Tamandua tetradactyla: one gene and its partner. The protein of the gene in region 1 interacts with the protein of each later gene in a biochemical or structural test. Links are inferred from orthologs where the notes say so. Each region holds a gene or a part of one and is shown in the gene's direction. Other genes may lie near its edges.

What was found.
Region 2: the proteins of AXL (region 1) and GAS6 form a complex in vitro, tested with the Homo sapiens proteins (2 studies listed by BioGRID and IntAct, with this or other methods). The link is inferred for Tamandua tetradactyla from reciprocal best matches to the Homo sapiens genes AXL and GAS6.

Annotation. Positions count from the first base shown.
Region 1 is NC_135342.1:22,537,011-22,545,818, reverse strand, and holds the start of AXL (tyrosine-protein kinase receptor UFO), read left to right. Parts: upstream 1-5,026; 5' UTR 5,027-5,350; coding exon 5,351-5,414; intron 5,415-5,580; exon of another isoform or gene 5,581-5,732; intron 5,733-6,362; coding exon 6,363-6,588; intron 6,589-6,903; coding exon 6,904-7,004; intron 7,005-7,432; coding exon 7,433-7,609; intron 7,610-8,808. UniProt on the Homo sapiens protein: Receptor tyrosine kinase that transduces signals from the extracellular matrix into the cytoplasm by binding growth factor GAS6 and which is thus regulating many physiological processes including cell survival, cell proliferation, migration and differentiation.
Region 2 is NC_135343.1:75,407,637-75,416,356, forward strand, and holds the start of GAS6 (growth arrest-specific protein 6), read left to right. Parts: upstream 1-5,111; coding exon 5,112-5,193; intron 5,194-5,546; coding exon 5,547-5,713; intron 5,714-8,720. UniProt on the Homo sapiens protein: Ligand for tyrosine-protein kinase receptors AXL, TYRO3 and MER whose signaling is implicated in cell growth and survival, cell adhesion and cell migration.

The DNA of each region.
Region 1 (8,808 bases):
AACCCAGCAGCTCATGCCCAGACCCCCTGGACTCACGGCCCGCGTCCTTCCAGAGACACGGCCACGCGTGAACACGGCCCACGCCCCCTCCTCATTCACTGAATATATCAAGTGCTGCTGTCTCCAGGACCCTGGCACGAGAAAGAGCAGCCCTTCCTGGCTCTCGCCACCACACAGGCACACGGAGACCCCACTCCTGTCCACGGCCCTAATGCCCGCTCCCTTCCTGCGCCGCCCCCTCTCCAGGCACGACCCGCCACACTCCCCAGCCATTGAGTCACACGGACAGGACAGTGGACGTGGGGCGCCGTGGTAGTGGTAGCCCCTCCCCCGAGTATTTTCCTCCCACGGAGAGTCACCACCCACTCCGTCCCACCCTCAGCCCTCAAGCCCTGCTCCCCCAACTCTCCACTGTCCCAGAGTCTCCCAAACACAAACACGTGCCCGGTCTGCAGCTGTGCTTGCCGGGCGCTGGGATCCAGGGGATTTGGGTCACACAGGGGCCTTCAGGGCCGCCCCCCACAAAGCCTCTTCTCCCAGACAAGCCCCAGAGTCCAAGTCCCAGCTAGACCCAGCGGAAGGGGCTCAGGGGGGCTGAGGGAGAGGCTGGGCCTGGCCCCTCTGTGACTTGAAGGTCCTCCCGTTGCAATAAAAGGGTTTCTGGCCTGCGTGTGGGTTTGTGACGCGTGTGGATTTGTGGCCGTGTCTGAAACCCCTCCCAGTCCCCTCCCCCGAGGCCGGGCTGGAGCCGAAAAACATGGTCCCCACCCACCCTGGCTGTTGACATCAGCACCAGATGTGGAGCCCGGTGTGGGGGCCAAGGAGGGGGAGGGCTGGGCCCGGGCGGGGAAGGGGGTGCAGGGAGAAGGGCTCCAGCCTCACCCAAGCTGGGCTGCAGGCCTGGGAAAAGCCAGCCCACGCCCTGGGAACTCCCCGAGTCCGAAAGCAGAGACTTACAGCCCCTCTGCGTGCTTCTCCCACCGCCCTTTTTTTCTGTCTTCTCTTGTCCGGGAAACCAGAGGCGTCTTTTTATTTGCTATAGAGCATGGCAGTTTTTAAACACACCCCAAGGAGAGAGAACGGCCCGATGACCCTCCTGTCCCCATCACCCTCCCCCATTAAAACTCATCAACTTCTTGCTATTTTTATTTCATCTGTCCCTTGATTTCACCTATCACATTGTTTAAGATTATTTTCAAGCACCTCCCAGAAAATAATCAATATGCAGCTCTAACCGCTAAGAACATTCTGCCCCCAATATTGTATTATGAACATTTTCAAACACAGAGAAAGAAAAATAGAAGGACTTTACGGGGAATGCCCATGTGCCATTTCCCAGGTTCTCCCACCAGCATTTTGCTACATTGCTTTCTCACATTTCTAGCCACCTGACCGTCTATCTCAGCTCTTTCATGCTTTTTGAAGGGAACTACAGACATCAGTGCCCCTTCCCCTAATACTTGGATAATGCATTTATCATTAGCCAAGGTTGACTTTAAAAATCAAAACTACATCCTGTGGTCATGCCAATCACAGCTGTCAATTCTGTAATATCAAATACAAATATAATGTTCTCACTGGCCTCATAAATGTAGTTTAGAGTTGACTTGCTCAAATAAGGATGCAAAGAAAGGCCCACCACACAGAGCTCTCGTTTGAAACGTCACTTTGGGTTTTTAAATTAGTTCCTCACCCTTTTTTATTTCGATTTTATCTTCTTTTTTCCCCTCCTCCAACCTTTTTTATGTTATTTCTCGGTGGGGGACGGCGGAAATCAGTCTTTTGTTGTGTACACGTTCTCATATTCTGGATTTGGCTGACAGCATCTTTATGGTGCTGTTTAAAGTGTCCTTCACTCCAGGACCTCCTGTGAACTGGGAATTGCCCAAAAGATGCCAGATCCCTTGTTGTGTCACATCACAATCACTGGTGGTCCCATAGTTTGGGATGCTGAAGTTTGATGGTCCAGTTCCTAATCTCTCCGTGAGGAACTTCCTCATCAACCTTTCACTTTCTAGCCTAAGTAGAGGAATCCTTTAAAAATATGAATCAAACCTGTTCTCTCCCCTGCTCCCCCACTGTCCCCCCACCTCCCCGTGGCTCCCATCAAGTTAGAATAAAAGCCCAAGTCCACGCCAGGCCAAGACACTGAACAACAGGATTGGTCTCTGATCTCACCTCCTTCCTCTTCCACCCCCCCCCCCAATTCATCTGCTCAGGCCACAGTTGTCTTCCTGCAGCTCCTGCCTCTGAGCCTTTGCATTGGCTGTTCCTTCTGCCTGAAACACTCTTCCCCCACATGGTTCATTTCCTAATCTACTTTAGATCTCAGTCTACTGCCCTCTCTAAAATGGCACACCTACCCTTCCCCATCCTCCCCCTGCTTTATTTTTCTTCACTGCCCATCTCACCCCCCTGATGAATATTTATGATTGTCGTCTCTCTTCCCCCTAGAATATGGAATCCCCAGCAGATTCACACAAGTGAAGAGAGACTTTTGAACATATTTGCAACTCCCCCTGCCCCTCCAAAAATGCCACAATTATTCATTTATGGCAGCCCTTCTAAAGGGTGGTGGGGATGAAGATACCCAATCCCTGCCCTCGTAGCATCCCAGAGACCAGCAGGAGGAGACAGACATGAGACACATAATCACACCAATAAATACGTCATGATAGCCCATGCAGTGTTGCCAAAGAAAAGGACAGGGCGTAAGAGTGAGCAACATGGGACCTAGATTAGACTTGGGGGTGGGGGGCAGGCAGCCACTCCAGAGAGGGCTGAGGAGCTGGCTGGGGAGGCTCTGGGGCCTGGGAGGAGGCTGTTTGGGTCAGGAAGTGAAAGAAGCCTGGGGAGGGGGGAGGGAGTGTCCAGTGGAGATAAGGGGACTTTAAAAAAGGCCTCAATAAAGAGTTTGGGGGGTTGTCGTGGAAGGCTGGGCAAGAGGGGGAAAGGGTTTCACTGGGGATTGAAAAAACACGGCCCGGTTGGGAGATGGGCTGGAGAGAGAGGGGCAGCCCGGAGGGCAGGACCCCAGCAGGAAGGGATTGGGAAGGGGTAAAGGGATGGGGAGAGGTTTGTGAGGCTGACCCTAGGACTTGAGAACTGACTGCAGGGTGGGGCCTGCCCTGAAGGGTCAGCCTTGGAAGTTAAGACAGAAGCTGAAATGGGACATAAATGAGACAGCTCAGCGAGGCTGGACCTGCCTAGTAGCTGGGAGCTCACCTCGCAGGCAGTGAGGGAGGCCAAGGTTAAGCAGGAGACCCAGTCTTGTATTTCAGAAACAGCCCTCTGCCTGCGGGGTGGGCGGGAAGCAGGGTGGAGGGAGCAAGAGGGGAGGACAGGGCAGGGGCCCGGGTGGGAGAGGCTGGGGCTGGACCCTGTGGGGTGGAAGGCATTGGAGGTGAAATGGGGGTGAAATAGGTAGGACTTTGAGGTGTGCAGTAGAGGCCGGGAGCAGAGAAATTGCTCCCAGCCCACTCTCCCGCAGACCACTGTATGCAAAACCTAGGGACACAGATGACACACAGAGGCGCCGGCTCTGCGCCTCTGGGACACAATCCCGCTAGGCCAGCCTGCAACCCCAGAGCACAGAGCTGAGCTGCCAAGAGAGCCACCGGTGCCTTGTCAGTGCCAGTCCCACTTGCTAAGGACAATGGGTGCCTTGGCTAGGTTATCTGCCTGCCCTTCCAGCCTGCTGAGGGGGGGTTCTCTGCTTGCTCCCATTTTACAGATGGACTAACCGAGGCCCGGGGAGCAGTCACTTGCCCAAGGTCACTGGTGGTTAATGATAGAGCTGGGGTTCCAACCCCGATGTCTGGGGGATGCCAAGGCTCAGATCTTACCCAGCAGGCTAGACTGCCCCAGGGGTTTCACCCGCCTACACCGGCCTGGTCTTATGCCGACCACAGGGCACCAAGGTGTCCTCAGGGAAGGGCCCAGAGAAGACCCAGACATCGCCCCACGGAGCCCACATTGCTGTTGTAATCCAAGTCCAATGCCGCATAGCAAATCCAGGAGCCTGACCACCCCACTCCCACTCCCACTCCATCTCCCTGTCTGGGGTTCTGTCTGCTCCATCACACTTCTGGGGAGGCCCAGCACTGAGGGGGTGGAGATGGAGCCAAGGAGCCACCAGTCCAGTCCCTCTGTTTCCCTGGAACAGACAGTTCATGGGGTCAGGGCCTGTTGGCAGGAGGGGGCTTGTCGGGGAAGGTACAGGGCCCAGGGCTGGGGGGTGGGCTTACACCAGGAGCTGCTGTTGCTACCTGCACACCACTCTGGCTTCCTTGCAGGAATGGTCCCGGGCATGTCTGTGAGCGTTTCTGTGTAGCTGAACACACTCAAGTTTCCCCATGTCCGTGGATCAGTATTTCCAGGTACACCTGTGACTCCATTTCCCTCCACATCTGCCTGTCCCTGTCGATGTTTCTAGGCTCTCTGCCTATATGTGTGTCTGGGTGTTTTTCCCACGCCTTTGACTCGAATGCTCGCCGACCTGGGAGCATGCCTGTCTTCTGGTATGTCTGACTGTGTGTGTGTGTGTACGTGTGTGCACGTGTGCGTATGCATGTCTGCACCTTATGTGTCTGAGGGTCCATAGGTCCCAGGTGTCCCCGCTGCAGAGGTTTCTCCGGGAGCTGAGTCCCTCACCCGGCTCTCCTGAGCGTGCCTGTGGGCGGACAGCGTGCCCCTGCGAGTCCTGGGTCCCCTGCGTGTCTCTGCCTGTCCCAGCCTCTGCAGGTCCGTGTCTGAGCGTGCGTATGTGTCCTTGTCCCAGGAGCTCTGAGTGTGAGGGGGAGTGAAGGGCCTGGGGAGGCCTGGCTGTGGCTGGGCTGGGTGGGGGACAGCTGGGGGAGGGGAGTCGTGGAGGAATGTTTACCAGACACAGAGAGAGCCCAGAGGGACAGCGCCCAGAGCTGGGACACGGAGACACACAGCCTCCCTGCCTCACCGCTCCAGGATGAGAGGCGCAGCCACAAGGGACTCTTTCCCCCTCCTCAGCTTCCCCCCAGGGCCCCTTTAAGACCGGGCTGGACCCCTCCTCTCCGCCTTAACCCCTCACTGACCAGCTGGCCCCCTGGGCTTGAGCAGTGGGCGGAGGCAGGGGGAGGAGGGAGCCAGGGGCGGGGAAAGGGTTTCCCGAAGTCTGGGAGCAAGAGAAGGAGGCAGGAGAGCCTGGAAGGCGCCGGAGCAGAGCCGGCCGAGGGCCCCCACCGTGCCAGGCGGCCAGTGCCAGACCCCGGGAGCTGGGGGGAGGGCCGGGGACTGCCTGTCCCTGCCCCCTCCCCCGCGGGGTGCCCAGCAACTTCTGAGGAAAGTTCGGCATCGGTTTTGCGGTGGCCCGAGGATGGGCAGGGTCCCTCTGGCCTGGTGCTTGGCGCTCTGGTGCTGGGGGTGCGCGGCCCCCAGGGGTGAGTGGTGGGGGCCGGTGGGGCAGGACCACCGGTGGCGGGGGGGGGGGGGGGCATGGGGGATGGGGGGCAGGAGCGGTGAGAGGGGGGTGGATGGCAGGTGTTGGGGGCGATTCCTGGGCTGGCTCAGAGTGTTTCCTTCGGACGAGAGAAACGGACTGTGAGAGGGAGGCAGGGAAGGACAGAGACTCGAGACAAACCAAGAGAGAGGGGGAGGAAGAGACTCAAGAGAGGAACATGGACAAGAAACAAAAACTGAAGGAGGAGGACACGGACAGAAAGGAGTAGGGGAGGACAAGGCGAAAGCTGAGGGAGCTGGTGGGGGCTGCATTTGAGTCTGGGGTCCTGGGAAGAGGGGCTGAGCTGGGGAGCACCCGAAGGAATCTTCCAGAAAGGAGCCCTATCTCTCTGGCTCTTTCTCTCTCCCTATTCATCTCTGAGTCTCTCTCTGCCTCGATTTCTCTGTGTGTGTGTCTCTCTTCTGTTGCAGTCCCCCTCTGTGTATTTCTCCTCTTTTCCCTTCACTCTCAGGAAAGTCTCTCTTTCTGTCTCGGTACCCCGTGCCTGGCTTTCTCGGGCTTCTCTCTCTGTCTCTCTTATGTTTCTTCTCCCTCCCCTGCCCTTTTCTTCCCCTCCATCCACGAAGCCTGAGCTGTTTGGTCTCCGGAGACCCCAAGTGAGGGCAGGGCTGGCCCTGCTGGGCCTCCAGGCTGTGGGGGCTACCAGACCCCGCTTCCTTCTGAACGGACCCCAGTGCCTAGGAAGGCGCCCATCCTGCCCCCAGAGCCTCCACCCTCCACTGGCCTCTGAGGTCACCCTACAACTATGTGGGCCTGAGGGCTTGGGGGGGGGGTGTCCTGGCAGTGGGTGGGCAGCGGGGGGGGGGGCAGGAAGGGGTGCAGAGGGAAGTGGGGGCCTTTCAGCCAACCTGTCCCATCCACCCTGCAGGTGCACAGGCTGCTGCAGCGGATCCCTTTGTGAGGAGCCCAGGAAACATCACGGGGGCCCGGGGCCTGACGGGGACGCTGCAGTGTGAGCTCCACGTTCACCAGGAGCCCCCCGAGGTGAACTGGCTTCAGGACGGACAGATCCTGGAGCTGGCGGAGAGCACCCAGATCCAGGTGCCCCTGGGTGAGGACGGCGAGGACGACTGGAAGGTGGTCAGCCAACTCAGGTGTCCAGTTTCTTCCCGGCCCCTGCACCCCTCCTGGTCCCTGTCGTCCCCGACCCCTACCCCTATCACAGCCCGCCTGCAGCCCGGCCACCTGGGTTGGAATCCCAGCCTGACCACTTCCTAGCTGTGGGGCATGAAGTGTGTCACAGAACCTCTGGGTTTCACTTTCTTCTTCTGTAAAATGGGATAATAATAGAACCTCCTCCACGGTTCTTTCCGCTTCCCAGTCCAGAGGCCCCTCTTCCGGTTCTGACCAGCCCCTCCCAGTGCCCAGCTCTGACCCTGCACCTCTCTGCCCCCGTCTTGCCCCACCAGGATCTTGTCCCTGCAGCTGTCGGATGCTGGGCGATACCAGTGTATGGTGGTCCTGGAAGGAGGGGCCTTCCTGTCCCGGCCTGGCTATGTGGGGCTGGAGGGTGAGCCCTGGGGGTCCGGGCGCATCTAGCCTAGGACTGTCAGCGATTTTAAGGGATCGGGAAGCTGGGGGGCCATAAATTCTGGCCAGGGGAGGGGACAGGGATGATAGGTCTGCCTGCCGGGCCAGACATGGTGGGAGCAAGACATTCTGTAGACTCAGATAAGGAGGTGAGGATGAGTCAGGCATTCTGGAGGAGAGATTTGGGGGGTCAGAGGTTAAGGGGAGGGGTCAGACATTGGGACCTTATGTCCTAAGGGTTGGAAAGACACCTGGGGGGCAGGGTGTCAGACATCTGAGGGTGAGGCAGGGTCTTTGGCAGGGAGTGTGTCAGATGGGGACAGTCCTGAAGCCTCCAACATAGACACCTGGGGGGGCGGTGCTCAGAGACCTCAGCTTGGACCCCTGCCTGCCATCCCCGCCCCCCAGGCCTGCCTTACTTCCTGGAGGAGCCTGAGGACAGGGCTGTGGCTGCCGACACCCCCTTTAACCTGACCTGCCGGGCCCAGGGACCCCCAGAGCCCGTGGACCTACTCTGGCTGCAGGACGCTGCTCCCGTGGCCTGGGCCTCGCACCAAGGCCCCCACCAAACTCTGCAAGTCGCAGGTGAGCCCGGCCCGGCCCAGCCAGGGAAGGGGGCGGTGCAGACATGGTTCACTGCCTCTGCGTGTCTGCCGGGCCCTCTTGCCTGCTCTGTGTATCTCTGTCTCTGTTTCTGTATCTCTTTGTCTCTGTCGCTGTCTCTGCATCCCTGTCCCCATCTGCCTCCTTGTTTCTGTCCGTATATCTCTCTCTGTTTCTGTCTCTCTGCCACCCATCTCCGTCCCCATCTTTCCATTTCTTTCTCACTGTTTCTGGGTGTCTCGCTCATCTCTGTGTGTTTCTCTGCTCGTTCTTCCTCCATTCAGCCCAGCCTCTCTGTGAATAGACTTCTTTGTCCCGGATGTCCTCTGAGCCGTGTGTGGGCCTGGTGCCCTCTGTCAGCCCCTGACCCCAACCTGGACCCCGGAACCACCGGGGTCTCCTCTCCGCCCCGCCCCCACCTGCCCTCCTCCCACCTCAAGACCTCTCAAGACCAGCCCAGGGCCCCCAGGGACACAGAGCCCAAAACAGAGAGGGAGGGACGAATGGGGAGACAGAGAAAAACAGTTACAGAGAGGGAAAGACAGACGGACCCAGAGGTGGTCCAAGAAGAAGGAGGCAGGACAAGGAAAGTCTAAGTGATTGGAGAACCCCACCCCCCAGCCTCAAGTGACCACCCAGTGGGGCAGGACCTAGCTTGGGGTCACACGGTGGTCAGAGGCAGAGCCGGGGGCCATGGTGGGTGTCCTGTCCTCGAGGGAGGTGGGATGGGATAGAGGTGCACGAATGGGGAGGCCTGAGGGTTATCGCTCCCTGCACCCCAACCTGCTGCCTCTGTCTGCTGGGGTGGGGAGGAATGGGGAGGCTGAGGGTCTTCCCGGGTGCAGGGAGGTGCCCAGATTCCCAGCATTCCGGGGGCCGTGAGTGTGTTAGGAAGCGGTGAGCACGTCGGCCCCCAGAGGGGTGACTCAGGCCTGTGGCTCGAATGGCCGGGTGGGGACAGGGATGGGGTCTGAGTCAGCCTGGCAGGACCCCCAGGATGGGGGAGGGGTAACCATCCACCCCCAACTCCCTTCCAAGGAAAAAGGAGAAATGGGGGAGTGGTGAGGCCCAGGTGTGAGAGCCTCTGTGTGTGGATCAGTACGTGTGGAGGAGAGGTCAAGCGGGTCTGTGTGCGTGTGTCTCAGTGTGGGGGTGTGTCCCCGTCTCCCTGGATCTGTGTG
Region 2 (8,720 bases), on another chromosome or scaffold:
AATAAAATACATTACAAATAAACAACAGCAAGTCATCTGGAAACTTTCCAAATTGTTAGAAACTAAGGCATTTCGCAATAACCAATAAGTCAAAGAAAATACTAAAAGAAAAATTAGAAAGAATTTTGAGCTGAATGAAACTGACCAACTCAGATATGGGATTCCAAATGTGTGGGGTGCAACTAAAGTATTACTTTAAGGGAAATTCATAGCACTAAACTACTATATTAGAAAAGAAAGTCTCAAATCAGTGACATCAGCCTCCAGAAACTAGATAAAGCAGAGCAAAAGAAATCCAATGTAAGCAGAAGAAAGGAAATGATAAAGATTAGATTGGATAACGATAAAAATAGAAGAAAAATAGATCAACAAAACCAAAAACTAGTTATTTGAGATCAATTAAATTGTTAAATCTCTAGCCAGACTGATTAGCCAAAATGAGAAAAGACAAAATAATCGACACCAGGAGTGAGAGAGGTGTCAGATATTTAAAGGGTGTTAAGGGAATATTCTGAAGAACTTTAAGCCAATGAATCACACAAATCCCTTAACAGATGCAAAACCAAAGGTTACTCAATAAAAAATAGTAGGTGTTACAGGAGGAGCACAGAAGTAAAAAGGTGAAGTAGGAAGTTGTACAGATTGTTTTGCCATCAGTAAAATGAAAGAGCTGTAAACAGAGACTGGATGAACTAGGTGGCAACCCTGGAACCAGACTGGACGTTCAGAACGACCACAGGAGTGCCAGACAAAGGGACCACCCTATTCCCATGCCCTGAGCCACGCCGGTGGAAACGGTGACCTAGATCCTGCGTGTGGCTGGGTGGGGCCAGGGCAGAAGAAACCTTGTCTTCCAAGATTCCTAAAGGTCCAGCAAGGATGCTGGCCTCAGTTTTGGCTCTCTCAGCAGGGGCGGCTTCTGGCCTCATACCAGCTCTACTGGGACATAAAGAGCCAATGCACCTTTTAAGTGGTTGGTTATCTTTCTTTCTTTTTCTAGTGTTTTTTTTTTTTTTTTTTTTTATCTGGTGGATGTCTGGGAGACAGGGCAGGCATTAGCCTTGGTTTTGGCTTCTTGGTAGCAATGGCTTCTGACCTCCCATTAGCATCCACTGGGACATAAAAAACCAGTGTGCCTTTTAACACTTTTTGGGTTTGTTTTCTTTCTTTCTCTCTGTCTCTGTGTGTGTGTGCGTGTTTCAGTCTGGGAGATCTCTAAGGGCCCAGCACAAGCATTAGCCTTGGTTTTGGGAAAATAAATAAATAAATAAATAAATAAATAAATTTAAAATATTTCTACAAAGGGAAACGAGAAGTGATTCAAAATGGTTCATTACAGGAGGTCATCTAAACAATAATAGAAAGGAAGGACAAAAAAGTATAATACAAAATAAACATAATTAACAGAATGGCGGAAGTAAGTCTTCCCTTATCTATAATTACCTTAAATGTAAGTGGATTATACTCACCAATCAAAATGCAAATTTGGCAGAATGGATAAAGAAGCATGATCCAATAATATGCTATATACAAGGGATTCATCTTATTTCAAAGACAAGCCTGTCAAAAGTGAACGGATGAGAAAAAATATTCCTTGGAAACAGTAGCCAAAAGAGAGCTGTCTGATCCTAAGATGAGACAAAACAGAATTTAAGCAAAAATCTGCTGCAAGAAACGAAGAACAAAGGAAAAAAAATCCCACATGATTCTCTCAATAGACACAGAAAAGGCATTTGGCAAAATCCAGCAACTTTCTTAATAAAAACACCCAACTTTCTCAACATGATAAATGTCAGTTATGAGAAGCCCATAGCTAAGGTCATACTCAATGGTGAAAGACTGAAAGCTTTCTCCTAACATTAGGAATAAGACAAGAATGTCCACTTTCACTGCTGCTATTCAAAATTGTACCAGATGTTCTAGTTTGAGCAATTAAGAAAGAAAAGAAATTAAAGTCATCCAGATTGGAAAGGAAGATGTAAACTATCTCTATTTGCAGACAACATCCTGTTACATAATGAAAACCCAAACAAATACACAAGAAAACTACCAGAACTGTAAACAAATTCAACAAAATGACAGGGTACAAGATCAACAAACAAAAATCCATTGTGTTTCTATACATTCGTGACGGAACAATACAAAGAGGAAATTAAGAAAACAATTTCATTTACAATAATAACTAGAAGAGTACAATATCTAGGAATAAATTTAACTATGGACGTGAAATTTATATACAGAAAACTATAAAATCTTACTGAAAGAAACTAAAAATCTAAATAAATGACAAGGAGTTATGTTCATGGCTTGGAAGGCTTAATATTAAGATACCAACACTACCAAAGTGATCTACAGATTCTATGCAATCCCTTTCAAAATTCCAGCAGACAAGGGGCACGAGAAAACATCTTCTGGATAATGGATATGCCTAACTTGATTGTGGCAATGGTTTCACAGATGTAGACTTTGATCACAGATGTCAAAATTTATTTGTTCAGTTTATTTTTTCTCACTTATACCTCAGTAAAGCTTTTCAAAAAACAAAACAAAACAAAAAACTTGTTCAGCACCCAGAACAGTGACTCAGGACAAAATAACAGCTATCCAACTCACATTTATTAAGTGAATAAATGAATGGATGGCCTTATTCCTTTGGAATCATCATCCTTAGATGAAAGGAGATAGAAAGGAGAATGCAGAACTTTGATTTCTCTACAGATACGCCATTTCCTATACCCTCACTCCCATCCCATCTCCACCAGCTCACTCCAGGTCATCCCTGGAAAGAAGAGCCGCGAGCTCTCGGTCTTCCTGACTACAGACTGGTTAACCGTGCATATAAAACATTCATTGCTCTGGGGCTAGCCTCCTGCCTCTTGCAGAGGTGAACTGTCTATTTCACCAACTCTATTTCAGGGTATATAATACAGTGCCTGACAACACTTTCCATTTTTAGAACACACTATCCAAATTGTCCATTTTCCATTTCTGCCTTAGAACAAATTTTCTGCCTTGGTAAGTAAGTTGGAGAATGGGAGTCAGCTTGGGTCAGACATCCTCCATTGCTCCCCCTACTGGCCTTCTGAGTTCCCCAGTCATTAAAATCAAAATGAGCAAGTGCATGCGAATGCATTTTATTAAAGCAAATCTCTACATGATAGAAGGTATTATTGTTATTGGGATGCTAGCTCAATAAAAGGGGGTGAATCAGGAATATGGGGAAGTGGGTGAGGTCCAGGCTAAAGGAGGTCAGCAAGGCCCGGGGATCTCACAGTCTTCAGCAGCCTAACACCGATCATCTGAAGCGATGGGCCCAAGAACGAGAAGAAACTGTGGAATCCAGTGATGCTCCCTTTCATTTGGGTCAACATTCTCAGGACTGCCTAGACTCTACAAACCCTCTCCTCCGAAAATAAACAAACAAAATTTCCAAAAATAATTGCAAACAGTTTCCGGGAGTCTACAGACTCCCTGAAGTCTAAGCACCGGCTGTTGGGTTGGAACAAGTAGGATACAGTATGGGAAAGTTTCTAGACCGCAGTCGGCACACAGCGCAGGCTCTATTAACTACTCACCTTGTGAATGGATGGACTAATGAACTAACTGATTAAAGAGCCTTTTGATGAACGACTCAAGAATGTATCCCCCCACCCAGATTGTAAGCCAGTAATGCTCATTAAGAACACCAAACAGGCAAATTAATAAAATTCCTTTAAACGCCAGGGTGTTTGCCCGGCTGAAGCAGCATAGGGAAATCAGCGCAGCTCCCATCACTCGGCGTGCGTTTCCAGCCCCCACTGGCAAATCTAACTTATCTACTAAGAATTTAATTCTCCCTTGAAAATCGTTGTCAGGGACATTCGTCTTCCCGAATTTAATATGGTAACACCATCTTGACACCAACGACCTCCTACCAGCAATGGCGCTCCATCTGCCCGCCACGGAGGGGCGAGAGGAAACTGAGATCCCGGGATTTCGGTGTAGAACCCACGAGCAAAACGACCAGCGTGGGGAAAGACTCGCTCTGGATCTTCAGCGCCGTGTGGGGTGCGTGGGATCTCGGAGGCGGGAGGGTCCCCAGCGCGCCCCTCCTCCACGCGGGGGCTGCAGGGCTCGCTGCCAGCGGTCTGCGCCGGTTTGGTTTAGGTGGTTGGCTGTTTTTCTGTTTGGTTTTTTGCCTATAACTTTGTGACAAAGAGACGGAAAATCACGGTCGCTGAGGACAAGCACAATGTTACTTTCGGCTACATATCTACTTGGGAAATCTCAAGGTTTTGAATATCATTATGGAAAACAGAGATTACGGAAGAAAATAAATTAATCTTGCTTCCTGAACCCAGATGAGATTAATTTTGACCTCAGTTTACCTTTTCTTCGGTGGGTTTTAAATCTTGTGAAAACTGGAAAAGAATGTGATAGATGCTTACTTGGTGGAGGGGGAAAGAAGTTGGGAAAGAGATTTAATTGTACCTAGAAAATGAATTCGTACCTGGTTATGCTGTATCTGGGTATTGCTTTTCTCTTTTTTTAAATCAAAAAACAAATTTTTTTTTTCATCGCAGCATGAATAAACTCAGTCATTGATTTGGGAGAAGCCCCTTCTCCTAGGATACCCTAGTCTAAGCCCTGTGTTGAAGTCGCCACGTTCCTGATTGCGTTTCGTTTTTTTTCTCCCTCTTCACCCTTTTGATCTTTCCGACTGAAAACAACTCGGGGGTTCTGCAAAGCGCTCGCGGAGCTCGGCGCGGCCCCCGCCCGGTGCCCGGCGCGCCGTCAGCGGAGGTCGGGACTGCCCCGCGGCCGCCCCCGGCCCCTCCCGCGCCGGCACCGCCTCCCCCCGCGCCTCCCGCCGCGCACAGACGCCGAGCAGCGCCCTAGGTGCGCTTCCGCGCGGCCGCCGGGATGTGAACTTCAGAACCGATTGGACAAGATGAGAGGAGCGTCTCTCCCGCGGCGCCCGCGGCTCGCCGGGGCCTCCCGGGCGCTCTGACCGCGAGGCGCGCTCTCGGCCCGCACGCCCCGCTCCTCCGCGCCGCCGCCGCCGCCGGGCGCCCCGCTCTCCCCCGACCCCCGCGGCCGCCGCCCCGGGCCCCGGCCCCCGCCCGCCCGCCATGCCGCCGCCGCAGCCCGGCCCCGCCGCCGCCCTGGGCACCGCGCTGCTGCTGCTCCTGCTGGCCACCGAGTCCTCGCACAGTGAGTACCGCCCGGCGCGCTCCCGCGGCCCGGGGGGGACCCGGGGCAGAGCCCCCTCCCCACGGGCCCCTCTGCCCCGGCGCGGGAAGCCGGGCGCTCCTGCCCGCAGCCCCCGCCCCGCCCTGCCGCAGCCGAGGTGGCCGCCGAGACTGCGGCGCGCCCCGGGCACCTCCCGCCGCCGCAGCATCCCCGGGTCAAGGGCGCCGAGCCCGCGCCCGCAGCGGGGCGTGCGGGCCTCACGGCCGTGTTCCCTCTTCTCTTCCCCTCTCGTGCCCTCGCCCCTGGCCCCGCTCCTTCCCCGCCCGCTTCCCCTGGCCCCTCGGCGGCCGCGCGGGCCCGGCGTGGCGGGGCAGCGGTGCTGTTGCGGGCGCGCGAGGCGGCGCAGTTCCTGCGGCCGAGGCAGCGCCGAGCCTACCAGGTCTTCGAGGAGGCCAAGCAGGGCCACCTGGAGAGGGAGTGCATAGAGGAGCTGTGCAACAAGGAGGAGGCGCGGGAGGTGTTCGAGAACGACCCCGAGACGGTGAGCGCCGGGCGGGCCCGGGGCCGCGGGGGGGAGGAGGGTGCGCGGCTTGAGCGCTTCCGTCGACAGCCGCTGGAGCCCCGGCCCGAACGTCCGCCGGCGCGGCGAAGGTGTTTGGAGAAGGGACCGTTAGGCAAATAATTGACACCTTGTCACATAACCGAGGTGGGAAGGGGCATTGTGGAGCGCCTGGGAGCTGGGGCATTTTGAGCGCTGTCCTTGCCCCACCTCGTTTATGGGGATGCCCCGAGGGGGAGACTCCGGAATTCCTCCAGCAACTCAGATTGTCCTTTCCAGAGTCCGCGGGAGAATCCCTAGTGTGGAAAAAAGGGTAGAAAGGTCATCCTCATTTCCTTTCAGCTTTGGGCCCCCAGTGCTCTTTTTTGGGGGGGCGTGTATGGTCCCAGGATCGAACCCGGGTCTCCCGCATGGAAGGCAAGCACTCTGCCACTCAGCCACCCATGGCTTGACCCCATTCTTGTTCTCCTAGTGACCTTAAGTACTGGCGGTTGGAGACACTGCAGTTGCCTGAAGGCAGCAACTTTACAGAAAATATGCCCAGTATAAGGCTTCTCCACCAGAGTAAAATAAGGACTCCGATTTTTAAAGTGGAAAAGAAATAATACAATGTTTAAAAAAAACCCCAGCAACTTCCTGCCTCCCTCTTCCTTCTCTGCTGGATTAGATTTCTGGGCTGGAACTGCCCAACCAGCCCTTGAATCCTCATCAAGCAGAGATGGAAGGTTTTCTTGAAAGAGGAACTGAAAGATTTGAGGGGTGGAATTTTTTTGCAGCAGTAGATCCAAAAATATTATTACAGAAATAGTGCTGTATATTTGGGGGGTGGTAGGAATGGGGGAATGTCGGGGAGAAAGTGAGGAAGGGCTAAACCAGGTGTGTGCTGGGGCCCCTTTTAACAAGGTGCTCTTTTAGAAGCAGCTGCTGATTCGGGACCATAGCCTGACAGGTGCTGGCCCAGGACATATTTCTATTAATAATGACCTTGGAGAATGTGTGGGGCGTGGAGGCTGACCAGCTGTGAGAGGCAGCGAGCCTGCAGAGGTGTCTCTGGAGGAGCTGTGTGATTGTAAAGGAAGGGACAGAGTTTCAGGAGATGGTTATTTAAGAGCAGTGATTGTGGTTTAGGATCCACAGGACTCATTGGAAGCTCTAGATGTTTATCTGTTTGGAAGTGAATGATTTGGGGAAGTAGGAATGATCTTGGAAAGTGAGGTCATAGTGATTCCACAGCTAAGTTTTTGGTAGTCCTGGAATTTTTTTAGAAGAATTCTTTTGGATGGACTAAACATCACATGCAATAGAAGACTGGTTCTTTATAACCAATGTGTGCTTTTCTTTTGACTTCTCTTTTTAATCATTGACTTTATAATCCCTTTTGGATCTCCATTTCTGAAAACAAGCTTTAAAACTATTGAGCAAACACACCATAATGCAGTTCTCCTTGGCACATCTAATTATGCCTGTAACAGAGCTATGGTGGAGATGATTATTTTCTTCTTTTCATCCTTAGTATCAGTAACAACAGGAGTTTGGTCCTGCCTCCCACTGGCAACATTTATGTTGCAATTTTTGTTTTCCTAGCCTCACCTTTTCCTATTTTCTAAACAATGAGTGCAGTTGTTCCAGTGCATCAGGCACTTGGTAGGAGATCCCTAGATGTTCTAGTGGCAAACCACGGGTGCCCAGTCACCCTGGGGGCACTGCCCAGTTGGGAGAGTATATGGCAGGGGCAATGGCTTCGAACCCCCAGGCCTGACCTAGAAAATCTCGCTTGTCCTCTTTGGGAGGCGGCTTCCTGGTGACAGAAGCTGAGTGCACCGCCCATCTCCGTGAGTCCTGCCCTGCTGCAGCTCCTGCTCGCCCAGAACTGAAACACCCTACCCTGGCTCTTCCTGGCTGACCTCCAGGTCACAGTTTCTTCCCAGAGTGTCAGTCCCTTCTCTGATTGTAATTGCTTTTATGTTTAAAGGATAATTATTTATAAATGCAATGTAAGCACTTTACAAAAATACGTGAATGGAAGACAAGCAAAAGGAAAAAAGTATGATTCCATCACTTTATTACAATCACTGTTATTTTGGTATAAATCTGTGCTAGAGTTTTCAGTTTCCTTGTAAGTGGACGTTTTGGCTCCCTCTTGCTTCTTTTATTTTTAATGCACAATCGAATTGTTTTAATACTGGGTCTTTCACTTCCTGGGTCCTTTGCTACTTCTCCTTGAGCAAGCCCTCTTTTCACAATCAGAAGTTTGTAATCTCCTTTTCATAGTAATGCTATCTGCACTTTCCCAGAATTCTAACCTTTGAAACTCCCATTTCAAAACAGCCCTGGGTTAGGTGTTAGGCAAACTAATTCTAATCTCAGCTCTGCTCTGATGGGTTTTTAGGACAGGGGCTCACCTCCCAGAGAACCTTGATCTTCAGTTCATCCTTTCCAGTACCACAGGAGGGGGTCGACTTCTGAAGGGCGTTGGGAAATCCTTAAAACAATTTGCTGCCAGTGCACCTTAGTGAAGAAAAGTCGGTATTGGATAGCGCTTTTCTAAAGGGGGATCGGCTATAAAATTACCCATGTGAGAGTTTCTGCGCTCTGAAAATGTCTGCAGCCTCTCTTAAGAAATACTAGTTCACATTTCCCTGCTTATGACACGTAGTCTCATTTTTTGTGAAATGAGGCTGATGAAGTGATGTGGAATAGAGTGCCCTGAACTTAGTTCACAGAATAACCCAGACTGTTGCAGCGGGAAAACCTCAGGGAGAGGGAGGGAAGAGCTTGTTCTGGGCCCTGTGAGCTCTGTCCGACCAGCTGGGGAGACTGGGGCACTGGGAACCTCCTCTCTGGGCTTCAAAGTCTCTTCACCTAGGGATTCCGGAGATTTATTCACTTAAAAGGTAGCCCTTGTGCGTTTAGTATTTGCCAAGCACGTGCCTTCCAGCTTGTCCTTTCACATTGGTGGGATGGGTGCCTGGTCTTCAGCATTATTCTC